2 linked regions of the Drosophila melanogaster genome follow. The protein of the gene in region 1 interacts with the protein of each later gene in a pairwise test. Each region holds a gene or a part of one and is shown on either strand. Other genes may lie near its edges.

Region 1 (7,737 bases):
GAATTCCTAGCAATAAACCCGTTCGAGTGTGATTTAAGAGCGGCAACAAACGCAAACTAATTAACTTGCACAGCGGTCGAATGGATGGATAGTCGCTGTGTCGGTGGGTGGTCCTTTCCCGGCCCACTCCCGACCACTTTTACTACGGCCAGCGTCAAGAACGAAGCCAGAAAAAAACGAATTAGTTAACAAGATCATTAAATCTTTGTTAACAGCCTATCGAGCAGAGACAACGGCAACAGAGACTCCGTCTACCAGACTTCTAAGGCGAATTTAGAGGAGACGTCATGGGCAGCTTGGCCATATAACCACAGCCAAGCCAACGACGTGCGATAAGATAACAGATGCCCAGACCCAGGGACTCAAGCTGCTCTCAATATCCATACCCAAAGTACCTGGACATGGCATGTAAATCGAAGAACATGGCTCAGATCGCAAATAGTGGCCAAAATAGCTAAACAGTTATAGGGATATTTCCAAAAACTAGCTATTATTAAATTTATATTTTATTCTTATTTTATTAAAAGGTATTTTTGGAAGCAATATAATTAAATGTCAAAATTCTAATTATTATATTTTAAAATAAATATTTTTGAGAAATATTAATATGTATTTATTTATTAATATGTATTGATTAAAGGTAATCGACTGGAAGAAAAATAATCCAGATGGTCATCACTGGCCGCCAAACTCGAACCTGTCCTGTAGAATTGCACATGTTTATCTATTAATTTATGCTGGCGGTTTTTGGGTTCCTCGTTTGGCAATCTCAGTGGAATCGCACTTGCGCCCGGATAGTCTGCTTCCTGGGAATTACTGTGCAACGGAGTGATCTGCATCTGGATCGGAGTCCTCACAGGCACAGCAGTCGCCCTGCCACAGGGACAAATGCTTGATAAGAACGCTAATTAAGTTAAATGCCAACTGTGTGTGGTTTCTACACTGAAAAAAATATGTTGTAAACTGTATAGCATTATACTGACATGCTGAAATTTCATGCATGCTTATAGTTTTTATGTTAGTTGTTTAACAATTAGTATTTCATTTAACGTATTTAATTTCTATGCAAAACTATTACAAATAACTTTCTTCCTTAATAAATGAATTTGTTTTCAGTATTGCGGTGATTCCAGGTAAGTGATCAGAAATTGGCGTGGTTTGCTTCCCTTTGATTTATGTCCTGCCATTGGACATCGGTCGGTAGGAGGGGGCCACACCTACTATCTTATCTGTCGGGTGAACACTTTCGCTGTTTGTTTGTTTGGGTGTTGTTGCCACACATCTGCCACTTCGTGTCGAGCGTGCATGTGTGTGCTGGTTTCCACTTGAGGATCTCGACGTGCTCCTTAATTGTTTACCAGTTGTTTACTACATGGATCCTTTCCCTCCCGCAAATCTCAAGAACGCATAAATATGTGTATTTTGAAATCGCTTCTATGGACTATAGGCTGAAAGGTACCTTTTTGTGGCCAAAAAAGTCCGTAATATTAAGTTTTGATTACGTCATTATGTTATTATAAGATTAGACTTTAGTGTTGCGTACCAGAAATTTAAAAAAAAAAAAAATCCCGCACGGTTAACATAATCGACGGCAGGGAATATTAAATTATTAATCGAGAAATCCCCTGAGAAAGCCAAAATTTCATTAATAAATCAGCATGTCGCGGAGAAAATGTCTGCCAACGACGTGCATTTCCCTTATTTTAGATCAAAATGTAACAAAGAACAATATATTAGGGAGTTAACAAAAAATAAACATTTTTTCCTCGTGCTGCAAATAAAAAGAAAGATTGCCGATTAAATAATTCTTTAGTGTCTGGCACGAAAGCAGAGGTGCCTTTACAAAGTTTGCTTAACCAAAGTTTGCTTAACTTTGCAAGAAGAAGGCCTATTAAGAGTACAAATCAAAAATTGATCCCAAAAATGTCTTTTTACTTAAAAGATATGTATTTATTTTGGTAACAAAATTAAATATAAGGGGCGGACCACGCCCACAATTTTTGGTATCGTAAAGATATAGCCTAGTGTTACCCAATAAAAAAAAAAACAGAAACTAAATATCTCTCTCCGTTTTGTCAAAAAGGTACAATTCAGCCTTTAGTGGCTTTGGCGCCTCAAACGTTTTTCAAATCGAAGAGAAAATTTCGAGAGCGAAACAGAAACAAAGTGGAATCGAAACAGTGAGAGTGAAGAGAAGCAATTGGCTTAAAGAGAATGCTTATGCTCTTTTTCGTACTGAATTTTAGCTTGGCTCTTTCTAAACGTTCTAGTTGTATATTTACCGTATTGTATTTCTGAGAAATTTTCCTATTTTTTTAAAATTTTTTCTGGGTATTTGGACAAAATCGAATCAAATCCAAGTCGTAAAATTCTCGCCAATTCGATTACCGGAACATGCCCGCAGAAAAAAATTCTATATCATTATCTAATGATGAATTACAGAATAATCATATTAGTACGCCGAAGTAGTAAAGCTATTAATTTATTATAAATATTCCTAAGGATCCATAATGAAAGATGTTAATATATTTAATATTGTTTACTTATAAACGGGGAATACAATATTTCTAAAACTTTTTACGCAAAATCGATTGAATATTGGTTACTTTTGATTCCGTACAATAACATACTTGTTAATAAACAAATTTAGTGACTACAATTACTACGTTCACTCCTTTCTCCTGCCAAAAAACATTTTATTGATGCAGAAGTCTACCTGCTCATTAATGCATCGCCCTGTGTCCTAAAAATGTTAGTATTTTATGTTGGGTACCTGCCCATGTTTTTTGCGTTTCAGTTATTAAGTCAACTAATGATGCACCTGATAATGATAATGAGGTAAAAGGAAACCCTTGTTCGCTAATCCTCCAAAAGTGGGGTTTTTCGAATTTCTAGTTAAATTTCTAGGTAAGATCATAGATCTCCTTATTGCGCATTGAATGCAAATGCAGAGAGGACGAGAGAGAGCAGCTGCGGAGAGCACGATGCACACAGGTAAACATATTTGAATATATGGCCCACACTAGAGCAAATATAACGGCATCGCTTCGTTTGCGGCTTCGATTGGTGCAAGTGTACGAGTTCGGCACGTGAGGCAATTCTACATAAACAAGGCGAAACCTGTTTAGCCGAGTGCCGCGATTGGTCGACGCATATACCTGAATGAACATGCATACTCTCGGCGGAACGCCCGAGAGAGCGTTCTCTTTTGGCAGCTTCGTGTAATGAGCCGAGTGCCGAGTGCAGGGGCAGTATAAAAAGGCCGCACCACCGCCAAACTCGCTCAGTTATTCCCAGACTCTAACCGATTCACATAACCATCTCTCCCAACGCAATATACCCGAAATATAACCGATATTCAATCGCTTTGCTTAACGGAACACGCGTTTGGTATTTGTGCATCGATCGAGTATTTGTGCCTGTGTGAACATGACACACTGAAAACAAAGTGACGAAAATTAAGAACATTTTACAACAATTCCGGTAAACTATCAATAAAAAGCCAGTAAAATGCATACCGTGGAAGACATGTTGGTGGAGAAAAACTACAGCAAGTGCCCGCTAAAAAAGCGCCCAGTTAATTACCAGTTCGAGGCGCCTCAAAATCACAGTAACACCCCAAATGAGCCGCAGGATTTGTGCGTAAAGAAAATGGAAATTCTGGAGGAAAATCCCTCCGAGGAACTGATCAACGTCAGCGATTGTTGCGAGGACGAGGGTGTGGATGTAGATCATACAGATGATGAACACATCGAGGAGGAGGACGAGGACGTCGATGTGGATGTGGACTCGGACCCAAATCAGACCCAGGCTGCGGCTTTAGCTGCTGCCGCAGCTGTGGCCGCCGCTGCAGCCGCCTCCGTGGTTGTGCCCACGCCCACATACCCGAAATATCCCTGGAACAACTTCCACATGTCGCCCTACACCGCCGAGTTCTACAGGACCATCAATCAGCAGGGTCATCAGATTTTGCCGCTGCGTGGCGATCTCATTGCGCCCAGTTCGCCGAGTGACTCGCTGGGCTCCCTGTCGCCGCCACCACATCATTACCTTCATGGTCGCGCAAGCTCCGTTTCCCCGCCCATGAGATCTGAAATCATCCATAGACCAATCGGCGTGCGGCAGCACCGTTTCCTGCCCTATCCACAGATGCCCGGTTATCCGAGCTTGGGCGGCTATACCCATACCCATCATCACCATGCGCCTATCTCGCCGGCTTATTCCGAGAATTCCTACTACTCCATGCGATCGATGACGCCTGAATCCAGCTGCAGCTCCTCGCTGCCCGAGGATCTATCCCTGAAACACAAGAACCTGAACTTGAATCTAAACACTAGCCAGCCGGGAGAGCAAGCAGCAGCCAAAACCGGGGATATGTCGCCCGAAACTATGCCGAATGCCTCCGCCAAGAAGGACAAGAACCAGCCGCCGCGTTACCAGTGCCCGGATTGCCAGAAATCTTACTCCACCTTCTCCGGGCTGACCAAACATCAGCAGTTCCATTGCCCGGCCGCCGAGGGTAATCAGGTGAAGAAGTCCTTCAGCTGCAAGGATTGTGACAAGACCTATGTTTCGTTGGGTGCCCTCAAGATGCACATTCGCACCCACACGTTGCCCTGCAAGTGCAATCTGTGCGGCAAGGCCTTCTCGCGACCATGGCTGCTGCAAGGACACATTCGCACTCATACGGGAGAGAAGCCCTTCAGTTGCCAGCATTGCCACCGGGCCTTTGCAGATCGCTCGAATCTGCGAGCACATCTGCAGACCCACTCGGACATCAAGAAGTACTCCTGCACCAGTTGCTCGAAGACCTTCTCGCGGATGTCCCTCCTAACCAAGCATTCAGAGGGCGGATGTCCTGGCGGCAGTGCAGGATCCTCCAGCAGCAGCGAACTCAACTACGCCGGCTATGCCGAGCCGTAAGGCAATATATTTATATATACATTATATAGCTGAGATCCCAGCCATGTTCCACCAAAAATTAGTTCCTAGCTCTCTTAGGCGGCTCCAAGTTCCCGAAACTCCCAGTGCAGACACACAACTTCAAGCAGAATTTCACTTGTTTTTTAATTTCTAGTCAGCATTTTCTCCCAGAAGAGAGAAAATTAAAAATTACGTTTTAATTTGTACAATCCGGCAACATTTTTGTAACCACCACCACCAATTTGAATAGTTTGAACCATTTTAAAATGTGTGCCCATAATATATCCTAAAGATGAACTTTGTAAAGTATTCTTCGATTTATCCTGTACATAATGTATTATGTCTAACTGTAGACTCTAAGCTGAACAAATGAAACGCCAGACAATCAATCGTAAGCAAGACATACATCTCTATATTTTATACGATAGTATTTTTAGCCTAGCTGTAAAAACCGTAAACTATTTTTGATATGACCACTACTTTTTCGCGTACACATTGAAAATGTTCTACTGTAGCTTAAGTGAAGATAAGCAAACAACACATACATATATTTTGATACGAAAATGTTTTGTAATTCTAAGTAATTTATTGCATCAAGCGAAGAAAGAAGGAAATACATTTTATTTACATACAAAAAAAAAACATTGAAAACGTTTTTATTTCATTAATGGGTGGGCTTTGGGACCTTTTTATTTCAGGATAATATGCAAGTCGTTCTACACAAACTTAGAAAAAATCTTTTATTTTTCTATATACGGTAATTATGTTAACAATACCATACATATATTTGAAACAGTCTTAATTTGATACTCCTATATGCCAAAACATTGTTAATTTAATCATATTTAAGCATGGTATTTTCATATCAACTTCAGTGGTTAAATCTTTATAACATTTCTGGTCAGCTAATGTAATATTTGACATATTTAAATGTACATATATACAACCTTTAAATATTTATCTGTTGAATGCTTAGACCACATTTTCTATTGTCCACATTCAATTAAAAGTCAATTCCTATTTCCGGCAGAAGGTTCAATGGAATCTAGAATGATCGTGAGTGGTCTCTTCCAGAGTTCGCCACATATTTGGTTTTATTGGGTCATGTTCTTCTTCTTCGAACAAATAAACAAATCGAATTGAGTGGATCGGAAAATAAGAGCCGACCCAATCCAGCCATTCGCGACATTTTATGGCCCGCCCAGTGAAGCAAACGTAAGGCGCATTTTCTTTGGCAGACTGATCATAAATTACATATGTATATGTATGTATTTAAATTTCGGTGCACGTACGACGCGAGCACAAAATGGCAGTCACTAAATCAAACTTCAAGCCTCAGTAGACCCGCGCCCCGGCCAAAAAGTCGTATTAGACATGAGACGCGATCTTAATGAGAGAGCAGTGAAAATAGTGTCTTGGCCCGGAGATCATCAAGTGTGATCGATGCCTACCAGTATCCAGCCAAGCGGAAAAGCGCAGGGAAATCATAATCGTACGGTAAGGTATCGTTCGGGTGACAGAGCATACGAAATTATGGGTGCGTCCTCTGAAGCCAAACGAAATGAAACGAAACGAAACGAAACTCATTATCGAGATCAATCGATCGCCAGGCGGAGGAGAGCCTGCTCCAGAGGCCCACAAATAGCGCACACATGTGTGTGGGGATCGGGATCGGGATTGGCATGGGTTTGGGGATGGGGATCCGCCGATCCAGTCGATCCGCGATCATCGGCATCAGCGATCGACGACCACGACAATTGTTGCCAAATTAGATCATCAGGCAGCTAGAAAAGCAGCAAAACCCAAACGGCAACGGCAGCAACAAGTCTTAGTCAAGTTTCACGTGGCTACACTGAGCGAAAAGGGTAGGAATAAATACATTTTTAACTTGCTAATCTCTTCATCATTAATGCAAAGCCATTCGAACTTACCTAAATAGACATAGTTAATGGAAGGCAGATCTGTTTTAAACTTTATTACTACATTTTTCAAACATTGTGGAAATGTAAGTTTAGCTTTTTTCAGTGCATAGAGGGATCCAAGCCCAATCGGATGGATCGGGCCAACGTAAATATACGAAAATTAATATGCACGCATTTCGTGGCTCCACTTCCTCCACGGCGGCTTGCTTCAGTCTCGGGTTACCCAGCCTGCAGATCCACAGGGTCCAAGTTGCCGGTCTCTCCAGCGCCCTCAGCACCAGAGTAAGCCCCAAAAAGCGCAGCTCGTCGATCGGAGCTCTGCTCCCAAAACGACGATCGTTCGTGCCAGCTAGCTGGCTAAACAATTTGCAAACGATTTCTAATAAGCGTCTTAAATTGTAACAAAATAGACGCGCATTTAGGGCCTTTTGTGTGCCTTCGCCTGGCTTCGTCTGGCTTTCGATAACAAAGATCGAGAGCGAATAAAAAATAGAAAAATGAAATAAAAAATGGCCCAAAACATGGACAGCAACAAAACGGCAGGCTAACTGCCTCGCTTGACCCTCTCCCTACCCAAAAATGAAAAATATATATAGATATATAAAAAAGCAGCCCATTGGGTTTTTATTTCTGATTATTTTATTTTATTTGTGCCAAATTTCGCGCTTGATCGCTGCATTTTGGGCTGCTTTTTTGTTTTTGTTTTTTTTTACTAGCTATTCGACTGTGGGTAGCGGGTCCAGTTGGGGTTACTATGATGAAGATCTTTGGGTTAGGCCGTCGACAATTTGACTGATTTTGGGGACCCTGGCTTTTGGTGACTTATTTATGGCAAATGAATATTGTGCCTTCGGTTTGTTTGTGGGAAAATTTCCGATAGATGAATCTGGTT
Region 2 (8,998 bases), 6.8 Mb from region 1:
TATCCCAGAAAAATTATTATTGAATTCTCGCGTTCGCATTTGCACTAGTTGAGTAACGGGTATCTGATAGTCTGTTAAGTTGACTATAGCATTCTCTCTTGTTTTGTGTTAGTGTCATTAAAAAGTGATGAGCAAATTAAAAAATGAATTTCTTTTATAGTTAGTAAAAACATCAAAAGAGCAAGTTCTAGCTCGAAAAGTAATTTACAAATGGAATTGAAAGTTTGTTTGAATAATAAGTATTTGATTAAGAGGACTGTGAACCAAATACATTTTGCTGAAATTATCCAGATCTTTTAAAGAAAAGTTACGAACAAATGAATCCTAAGAACCTCGTCTAAAACCAATATTCCCTAAAATAACTACTTCAGGACTGCATTTTTTTCAAAATATGTAAAAGGTTACTTTAAAATAGCAACAAACTATCCTACAACCTTGAACGAATAGACGCAATAGTATGTCTGCCTTTTTAACCGGTTTTTCATTTTTATTTGGCAACCATTTTGCTAATGAATGGGTTTTCACGAAAGCACGCTTATGCGAGTTTGACAAAAAAAAGTGTTACCCAAAGCATTAAGTCGACAGACAGGCTTAAGAAAATTACCTAAATTATTTGTAATAAAAGTATTTATGTTATGAAGCCCAAATTATTTATGCCGAGAAGTCATCATTTATGTAGGTAACTGTTGAAATTGCTTTTTTGTTATTGTTTTTAATCGCATAAAAACCGCCATTCTGGACAGGAGATTTCGGTTACATACTGCAATACATTAAGTAGCACTCGAATGGTTTGGTTAACTTGATTATTGTCCAATATTGCATAACAGCAGGATAGGGCTTAGGCCAGGACTTTTAATTCTTCTGAATTTAGTGGGTGAGTGGAGTGGGAAGCTGTAACACACTTGCAAAGGACGGTTGGCATGGTAGGCAGTCGAAAAATGAAATTGTTGTTTAACTAAAAACTAAATACTAAATAGCCAAGATCGGTTCACCAAAATGACAAATATAAGCCAATAGCATAGTCATTTAAATGAAAATGTTACTATAAAATCGTATAATTACTTACTTGTTTAATGGCGTGCCTGCACCATAAAATTTAAGCTTGAGGAACGAGTTAATCTAAAATATTTATGTTTTCAAGAAAAAAAATTTAAAAAAGAAAATACGGAAATTTAACAGTGAAAAGTATATATATTGTTTTGTGTGACTTTCAATTTAGCTTAAAAATGAGTTTGAAATGCTTTGTTATATTTTGAACATATATATAACATCTATTTTAGATGTTGCTTATATTGTTTATCCACAGCTTTAAAATAATTTGATATCAAATTGGAAAAATAATTGGCACGAATAAAAGGACTCTACCAAGCGGCAAAGACCATGGTCAAATTTAATTGGCCGGATAAATATGGATTGTGGTACGCATCCTTTCCGTAACTTTGTAACGATTTAGTTTTTAAGCTGTAGCAGAAATATTAAATAAAAAGTGGACCAACCACAGACACAGATCTTCCTATATAATCATGATTGCATAGTGCATGCAAACCAGTTGACATTAAAAGAAACAAAACTACAATCCCGTGTAACTAAAATGTATTCATTCTTGAATAATCCTATATACATATGAATATAAGTTTGTAATGACCGCAAATTCAAAAATGGACCCTAAGCAAAGTCCATGTTCGCAAATGTATACGTATACGTATTTATCTTGATTTAACTGATGGCGAATTCTAGTAATTTAAAGCTTTATTATACAAGCCATGAATCCTAATTCTTAAACACTTGGTTTTGATTATTGTAAAAAATTCGTTGCCACTTCACAACTTTACTTTAAATATGTAAAAATATTTTATTTTTAACAGATAATACGCAAAAATATAAATATAAGAAGTTTAAAAGAGTGCGTCCATTTTACAAATCAACAGCTCTAATTTTTTTGAAAAGACAGCAGTAATTCACATCATCTAATTTTCGATAAATTTTAACTTTATTTTACTCTTTTACGTCTATGAATATTTAAAGTTTTGTGTATTTATTAATTATATTATTGCCAACATTAAAATTTACTGACCTTATAGCTTCACGTAAGAATAAGATGAACGTGGCAAAACACTAAAAAAATTATATTTAAAGTGAAATGGTGCTTACATTAATAAAAAAAAAACGCATAAGACGTCGAAAACGGTGGAAAATGTGCCTATTTCTGGGATCCCTCTATTCTTCGTTAAGGCACTTGCAAATGGAGTAGGTTAGTAAAAAATTGTATTTTATTCAAATATTTATTTGATTTTATGCATTATTTAATACATACTTATATTAGATAGATTTAATTAAAATATATTTAAGCTTACAACTTTCAACTTATATGTGTGTGTTTATTACCTGTGCATATTCATACGTATCGGATTTGCTCGTATCGTCACCTAATAAATCCATATTTTACACCTACAATTTGTATAAGAGAATAGCCTATAACACTTATAAATACGATGCCTATACATATATGCGTTTAATGTTTAAAGATGTTTAAGTATATTATACAAGCTATCAAATAAATTAGGTTCATTTGTATGCTTATCGTAAAAAGCGTTTTTGGGTTTCGCCCATTTTTGAAGATCCCACATGAAAGTGGAGAAAGGACATATGCAGCTGAAGTGTTAACGATGGAACATCGTTTTCTATTCTTTAATATCATTGTGGTGATATATGCGCCCTTAGAGATGGTTCTGGGGCTAGCATAGGTGGAGGCAGATGATCATAGTAACGCTCGATAAACTGAAGCTAAGCAGGGTGGACTCCAGTGTCTGTGACTTCATTAAGCTGCCTGTCACCTCTGCATTTAAACTATCTATAACCCACCGATAATCACTTCCTGTTGGGCCTCATCCTCCATGTCAGGAATCTCCTGCTTATGCACTATCATCCCATCGCTGCTGGTCTGGCGAGGAGCAGTTTGGCCGTACTTTTGGTGTATGCCGCGGTGACGCTTGAGTGCAAAACGATCAGCGAATGCTGCAGAGCAAATCTCGCACTTGTAGGGTTTTTCTCCGGAGTGCACCTTTGCGTGGTTCTTAAGGTGCGCCGCCTGAGAAAAGGCCGATCCACAAATTTCACACTTGTATGGCTTTTCGCCCGTGTGAATGCGCCTATGATTCCAAAGAGTAGCGTGGCGCGCAAATCCTTTGTCGCAAACACCGCACACATAGGGCCGCTCGCCACTGTGCGTGCGTTCATGGTTCTTGAGGTGTGGTGACTGTGAAAACTGCATGCCGCAGGTTTGGCATCTATGTAAAGATAACGGTAATTAGTATAAAGAGTATAATTTCAAGTAGAAGATTGGTATTACTTATAGGGTTTCTCGCCTGTATGAATGCGCGCGTGGTTTTTCAAATATACGGCTTTAGCAAAGGCCAATCCACAGATGCTGCACTTGTAGTTTTTTTCACCGCTGTGCAGCTTTTTATGGGACCACAGACTTGAGTAACGTGAAAACAGACCACCACATATATTACAACTGAAGGGTTTGGACGGATTTCTGCAGGACAAACACCTTGGTTTTGTTAGCGTAGGATAAGGTTGCAATTTCATGTTATACTCACTCAGTTTTAACAGTAACTGATTGCTTTACCGATCCGCCCACCCCGCTGTGTGAAGCATGGGAGTGCTGCCCCACTAGCACCACGCCGGAGCCATTGCATTTCTGGCATTTGGTCATCTGCTGGGAATTTCGTTTTTTCACAGGATGATGGCCAGACCCACTGCTCGCCTCTCGCTTTGGCGTTGTACCGCCAGTCTGTGCAGCCACAATTTGCTGAAGTTGTGCTTGGGCCTGAGGAGTCGTTGATATGATTTGCACGGGATGCGCCATTTGACCTGCAAAAGATGCGATGAAGTTAGTTATGGTCCATTTAGAATGTAATCTTTCACAACTACCGTCTTGGGCGACGAAGAGCTGCTGTTGTTGTTGCGCTGTTTGTTCAGCCTGCATGCAGGACTCGCAGCGCACCTGCTTTGGACCTTTGCGTTTGGACTGCTGCAGCATAGAGCTTCCACAATTTATGCACTTGCTTGCCTTTGACTCATGTTGCTGCTGCTGCATTACAGATTGCTGAACCGGCTCCAGCGTGTCAGAAGACACAATCTGTATCTGGCCCATCTGACCATTTCCAATAATGTTCTGTGCCTGCACAAGCCCCTGCGCGCTGACCACGGCAATAGAATCGCCGCCCGCTTGGGCGTTATGTTGCTGTTGTTGCTGCTGTTCCCCGTCTGTATGCATCCGCTTATGAGCATTAAGAAGTGCCAAATGAGGGAACATATCTGAACATACGTCACACTTAAAGCTTATGTTGGATATGGTGTTCTGCAAAGAAGAAAATCTTTAGGCTTTGCTTAACGAGTCTTCCTTTTACATACAGCTGCAATTGGCTTATTTTGATTGACAATCTGGATGCGGCCTTGTGCGTCTACCGTGGCGATGCCAAGAGCTGCACCCTGATTGAGAGGCATTCCGTTGACCAGGGCGTAATTGTATCCGCCCACGGGCTGGGCTATATAACACGTCTTATTGTCGTCTGTGGTGGCCAGCTGTGCGAGATTGACGGTACCGCCATTGCCCTATGTGAAGACAATATGAAAAGTCAGCACCAATAACATATAGTAAGTAAACTACTTACATTTGTCGTGTAATAGAAGGTAGGCTGCTGCTCCGTTTTTTGGCCCTCTATTTTGGGCTGTTTAAGAATGGTGCCATCCGCCGTCTGGTATTGAATTGTGGCCGGTTGCCCATTAATGGCATTTGTGAAGATAATGTTTTTGGTAAGGTCTTCCATGGTCCCCAAAATTCGAGTATGCTCAAAAATTAACTTTTATCATACGTTGGCCTTTTATTTACTGCAGCTCTGTCGCGCTTTTCAACACTGCATCACGCGACGCTAATTCTATAAAAGAGAAAAAGAGATGAATATAGTGCCATAGGAACCCAGCGAAAACGACTGATTAAAAATGGCGACGGTGAGACAAAAAATATGTACATACGCGACACAAAACATACACAGACGAACGTTTAATGCAGCAGCTCTTTACATTAACAGACTCTAGTATCTAAACTGGAGTCTAGCACATTTGTTTTTTTATCATACAATATTACACTACATGTGTTATTTTTTTCATTATTAAAATTACCTTTTACGCAACCGGACCACACCATAAATTGCGCACTGCCTGCTCCACAATAAAATTGTTAAGATTTGAGTGGTGTAAAATTGTATTCGTGAATTGATAACGTATTTTAACGATATATTGTTTGGAATAATACAAGATATATATTTAAATAGTGTTATCTTTTTCTAACAAATTCCAGCACTTTAACTTTCAGTCCATCATTTTTTACGATTGCTAAAGAGAGATGGAGACAGAACAACGCTCAGAGATAGAGCAGACGAGCAGCAGTTTTACTTTTTAAAAGTGTGACCGTTTCACGACTCATGAAAATAATCATTTCCCTCGAAAATATACCAAAATTCACAAAGAACTGGTAGGATTTCTTAGAGCCCTTTTACACTAATTCGATAACTCAGAAAACATAAATATTTTTATATACGTTTTGTACTTCGTAATTTGGATTACATCACATGTTGTCTTACATGTTGTCTCTTACTCAAAAGGCAAACGCTACGATCAGTAGAATCTGGCTGTTACTAGCTTTCGAAAAGAAATATCTTGTGCTGAGCTGCGTTAAAAACACGTTTTAAATTTATTGAGACTTAACTTTTAATATTCTACAAGCTAAGGTAACACTGTAAGAGCAAAGACACTAGAATATTCTAGTGTCTTTGGTAAGATCATGGGCCATGGTTGATAACAAATTCCATAAGATAACGAAATTTTACAGGCACTCGACTTTTAACTAATTCTTAAAGATTCCATATAAAACGTACTTATTTTTGTATACTTAAATCTTTTAGGAATTCCTATTTATCTTTATCACTCGATGTAGGGGAGTGAGTTAAGGGACAACAGATTTTTTATGCCCCACGTAGTGACGCAAGTTATCCAACCCATAAATATAGCACTCTACCAAAAGCTAAACAAATTTCTAACTCCAATCTCAGCAGCGTTGCCTTTGCCCTTGTTTTTGACGCCAACACTTAGCCACCCGATATATAACCAAACTTAAAGTAAACACAACTTCCACTTGGAGACCAAGCCATGGTCAACTTATTGCGCTTCAGTCAAACTGCGTCAGTCAGCAAATTTGAATTTCACAATGCTGGGAAATAATTTCAGTGTAAAGCTTTTATCCTAAACATATTAAAAAGCTTAAGAGAATCCTAAAGAAAAGCTTCTGGCCGAGGTTGAGTGGATTAGGATTAAGATTTAGAAGATCAGTCTGAGTCGGGACGAGATCGTGAACAGCTTCAAATCAAAGATAAGCTAGTAATAAAGTGTCTTGTAATAGTATAAGTGAGGAAGTCTGTCGCCGAATAAATATTAATTAATAAAAAATAAAAACTATTCTTTTAAATAATTAAATAGCAGCAATTTTAATTCGCATACGTTTTGGTTTTGAGCTTAAGATCCTGGATGAACAAAGTTCTGCGAGTCCTGTTTGGTGTTGGAAAATTTCAGCTTCCAAAAGATTTAAATACTCTCGGCGCCCAAATTCAAAAATTTATTAGTGTTGGCAAGGCAACCAACGTGGTCAAATGTTTTTTATGACAACAGCATTTAAGGGAATGTCTTGAGATAGTAAGCTTATTTATTAGCTATTTTTGAGGAATGAAAAGACAAGTTTTATGGTAGTGATTTCGAACGATTATGTGTATGGTTTTGGAAAAAATTATGTCAGAAGGAACGGAAGGAAGCGTTTCGGGCATTATAACGTGCTTATATTCTTGTCTTCGGCTACCAATCCTTCTGTTCGTATACTTTTGAAAAGTTCTTTATCTTAAAAAATTAAGTTGTTTTTCTTGATAATTTGTATTGATATGCTTGAACTATTTCGCCACGACCAATTCAACACCCAAAACTTTTTGTTTTCATTGTTTATATTTTGCATTCCTTCTGGCTGTGTAAACGGTATCTCAATGTCCAACAAATTTGCTTAAGCGTTCTCTCTTATTTAAAAATAATTTGGTGGTAATAGAACTTAAATGAAATATATGTATATCTGTTTAGCTGCTTGTGATGTAAAAGAAATTAGAAATTAATTATGTGTTTACATTAAGATATATATCTTTCCCGCTTTTATTCTGTGTTCAAACCGCATGTGTTTTATATCGGCTTAATATACATATGTATGTCGGAGATTGAGTAGATCTAACGCAGTATTTGAATGTAACCGAAATTATGTTTTTGAACCGTTATGTTAAGAATGAGTTAAGAGTAATGAAATTCATGGAAATCGTTCCGTTATTGAGTAAAAATCCTTTGTGTATGTATTCAAATGAGCATGGCGCCAGTTGTTGTTTTGGTAGAGTTTCGTGGAAACGAAGTGAGGATGAAATAATTCAGTGAAGTTGAGGAATAGAAGAAAATCATCGAGGGCAACAACACACGTGTTAGACTTAAATGGCTCCAAGTGTAAAGTTATGACCTTTTGTCGTGCCAACCCAATACGCACGACTTAAACTCCTTAAACCTCCTTGGTTTAATAAAGAGTTGACACACCTAAGAATTGTAAAGTCCAGACTCTATATAAAATTTAAAAATACCGGTTCTCAGTCCACCCTCTGTAAATATTTAAGCGCTAGGTTAAGCTTTACCGGGCTTAATGATCAGTGCTACAATAATTATTTAAACCGTTGTAAGTTCCAGTTTGCACAGGATCCGAAACAGTTTTATAATTTCGTTAGCACTAAGCGAAAAACAAGTTCTTACCCTTCCTCGTTATTTTTAGAAAACACTACGGTTACATCGGATCAGGCAATAGCCCTATTCGCCAAGTTTTTTCAAACAACATATTCAACTTTACCTCATTCCGAACAGCCATACTCTTATGCGGTATCTAAGTCGAATCTAATATTTTGCCCCATTATAAACGAAAGCTCACTGCTTAACGATCTTCAGCGTGTTAAACCGGTCTATTCGCCAGGTCCTGATGGAATCCCTGCCTGTGTGCTCAGATTCTGTGCGGAAGCCTTGTGCAAACCTCTACTGAAACTGTTTACCTTATCTCCGGAATCTTCACAGTTCCCTCATATATGGAAGGAGTCCTTTATGATTCCTCTGCATAAAAAAGGTAGCAAACTGGATGCAAGCAATTACTGAGGAATCTCTAAATTGTCGGCTATCCCAAAACTTTTTGAAAATGTTATCACTCCTCATTTGAAGCACCTTTGTAGATCAATCATATCACCGTGTCAACACGGTTTTATGAAACGCAGATCAATAACCACTAACCTCTTGGAGCTAACTTCTTTCGTAATACAAGGTTTCAAAACTAATCTTTAAACAGATGTCATCTACACTGATTTTAGTAAAGCATTTGACTCTTTTAATCATTATCTTCTAATAAGAAAACCTGATCTTATAGGTTTCCCCGTTGATCTTCTAAATTGGATTTCAAGCTATCTGAATGGCAGGACACAACAAGTCCTCTTTAAAAATTCTTTATCTTCTATTCTCCGAGTCTACTACTTTTCCGAGACTACTTTTAATTAATTTATCGTCCCTAGCTAACCGTAGAACTATGCTTGGAACAGTCTTTATTTGTAAGCTTATTCGTGTTGATGTTGAGAGTCCCGACTTGATTAGTCGGCTTTACTTCTCTGTTCCAAGTAGATTCACTAGAAACTATTTACCCCTTATCTTAAATCATTGTAGATCTAACTATGAGTTGCATGACCCTTACAGAGTTTTATGTTCTGACTACAATAGACTTTATCCTATTATCTGTAATCTTGACTCTCTGCCGCTCTTAAAGCAATCGATTTTAACTTTTCTATTACATAATTAGATCCTACTAACACTAATATTTAATATAGTTATTTTA

Evidence for each region. The genes of interacting proteins can lie anywhere in the genome.
Region 2: the proteins of esg (region 1) and Clamp interact in a two-hybrid assay, tested with the Drosophila melanogaster proteins (one large-scale study listed by BioGRID).

Annotation. Positions count from the first base shown.
Region 1 is NT_033779.5:15,330,584-15,338,320, forward strand, and holds esg (escargot), read left to right. Parts: upstream 1-3,282; 5' UTR 3,283-3,510; coding exon 3,511-4,923; 3' UTR 4,924-5,555; downstream 5,556-7,737. UniProt on the Drosophila melanogaster protein: Transcription factor that can both stimulate and repress transcription. Binds to the consensus DNA sequence 5'-A/GCAGGTG-3'.
Region 2 is NT_033779.5:22,163,701-22,172,698, forward strand, and holds Clamp (Chromatin-linked adaptor for MSL proteins), read right to left. Parts: upstream 5,444-8,998; 5' UTR 5,188-5,443; intron 4,944-5,187; 5' UTR 4,836-4,943; coding exon 4,680-4,835; intron 4,621-4,679; coding exon 4,420-4,620; intron 4,367-4,419; coding exon 3,937-4,366; intron 3,877-3,936; coding exon 3,603-3,876; intron 3,554-3,602; coding exon 3,350-3,553; intron 3,288-3,349; coding exon 2,852-3,287; 3' UTR 2,020-2,851; downstream 1-2,019. UniProt on the Drosophila melanogaster protein: Transcription factor involved in X-chromosome dosage compensation in males, the process by which transcription of the single X chromosome in the male is elevated. Binds to the DNA sequence (GA)n.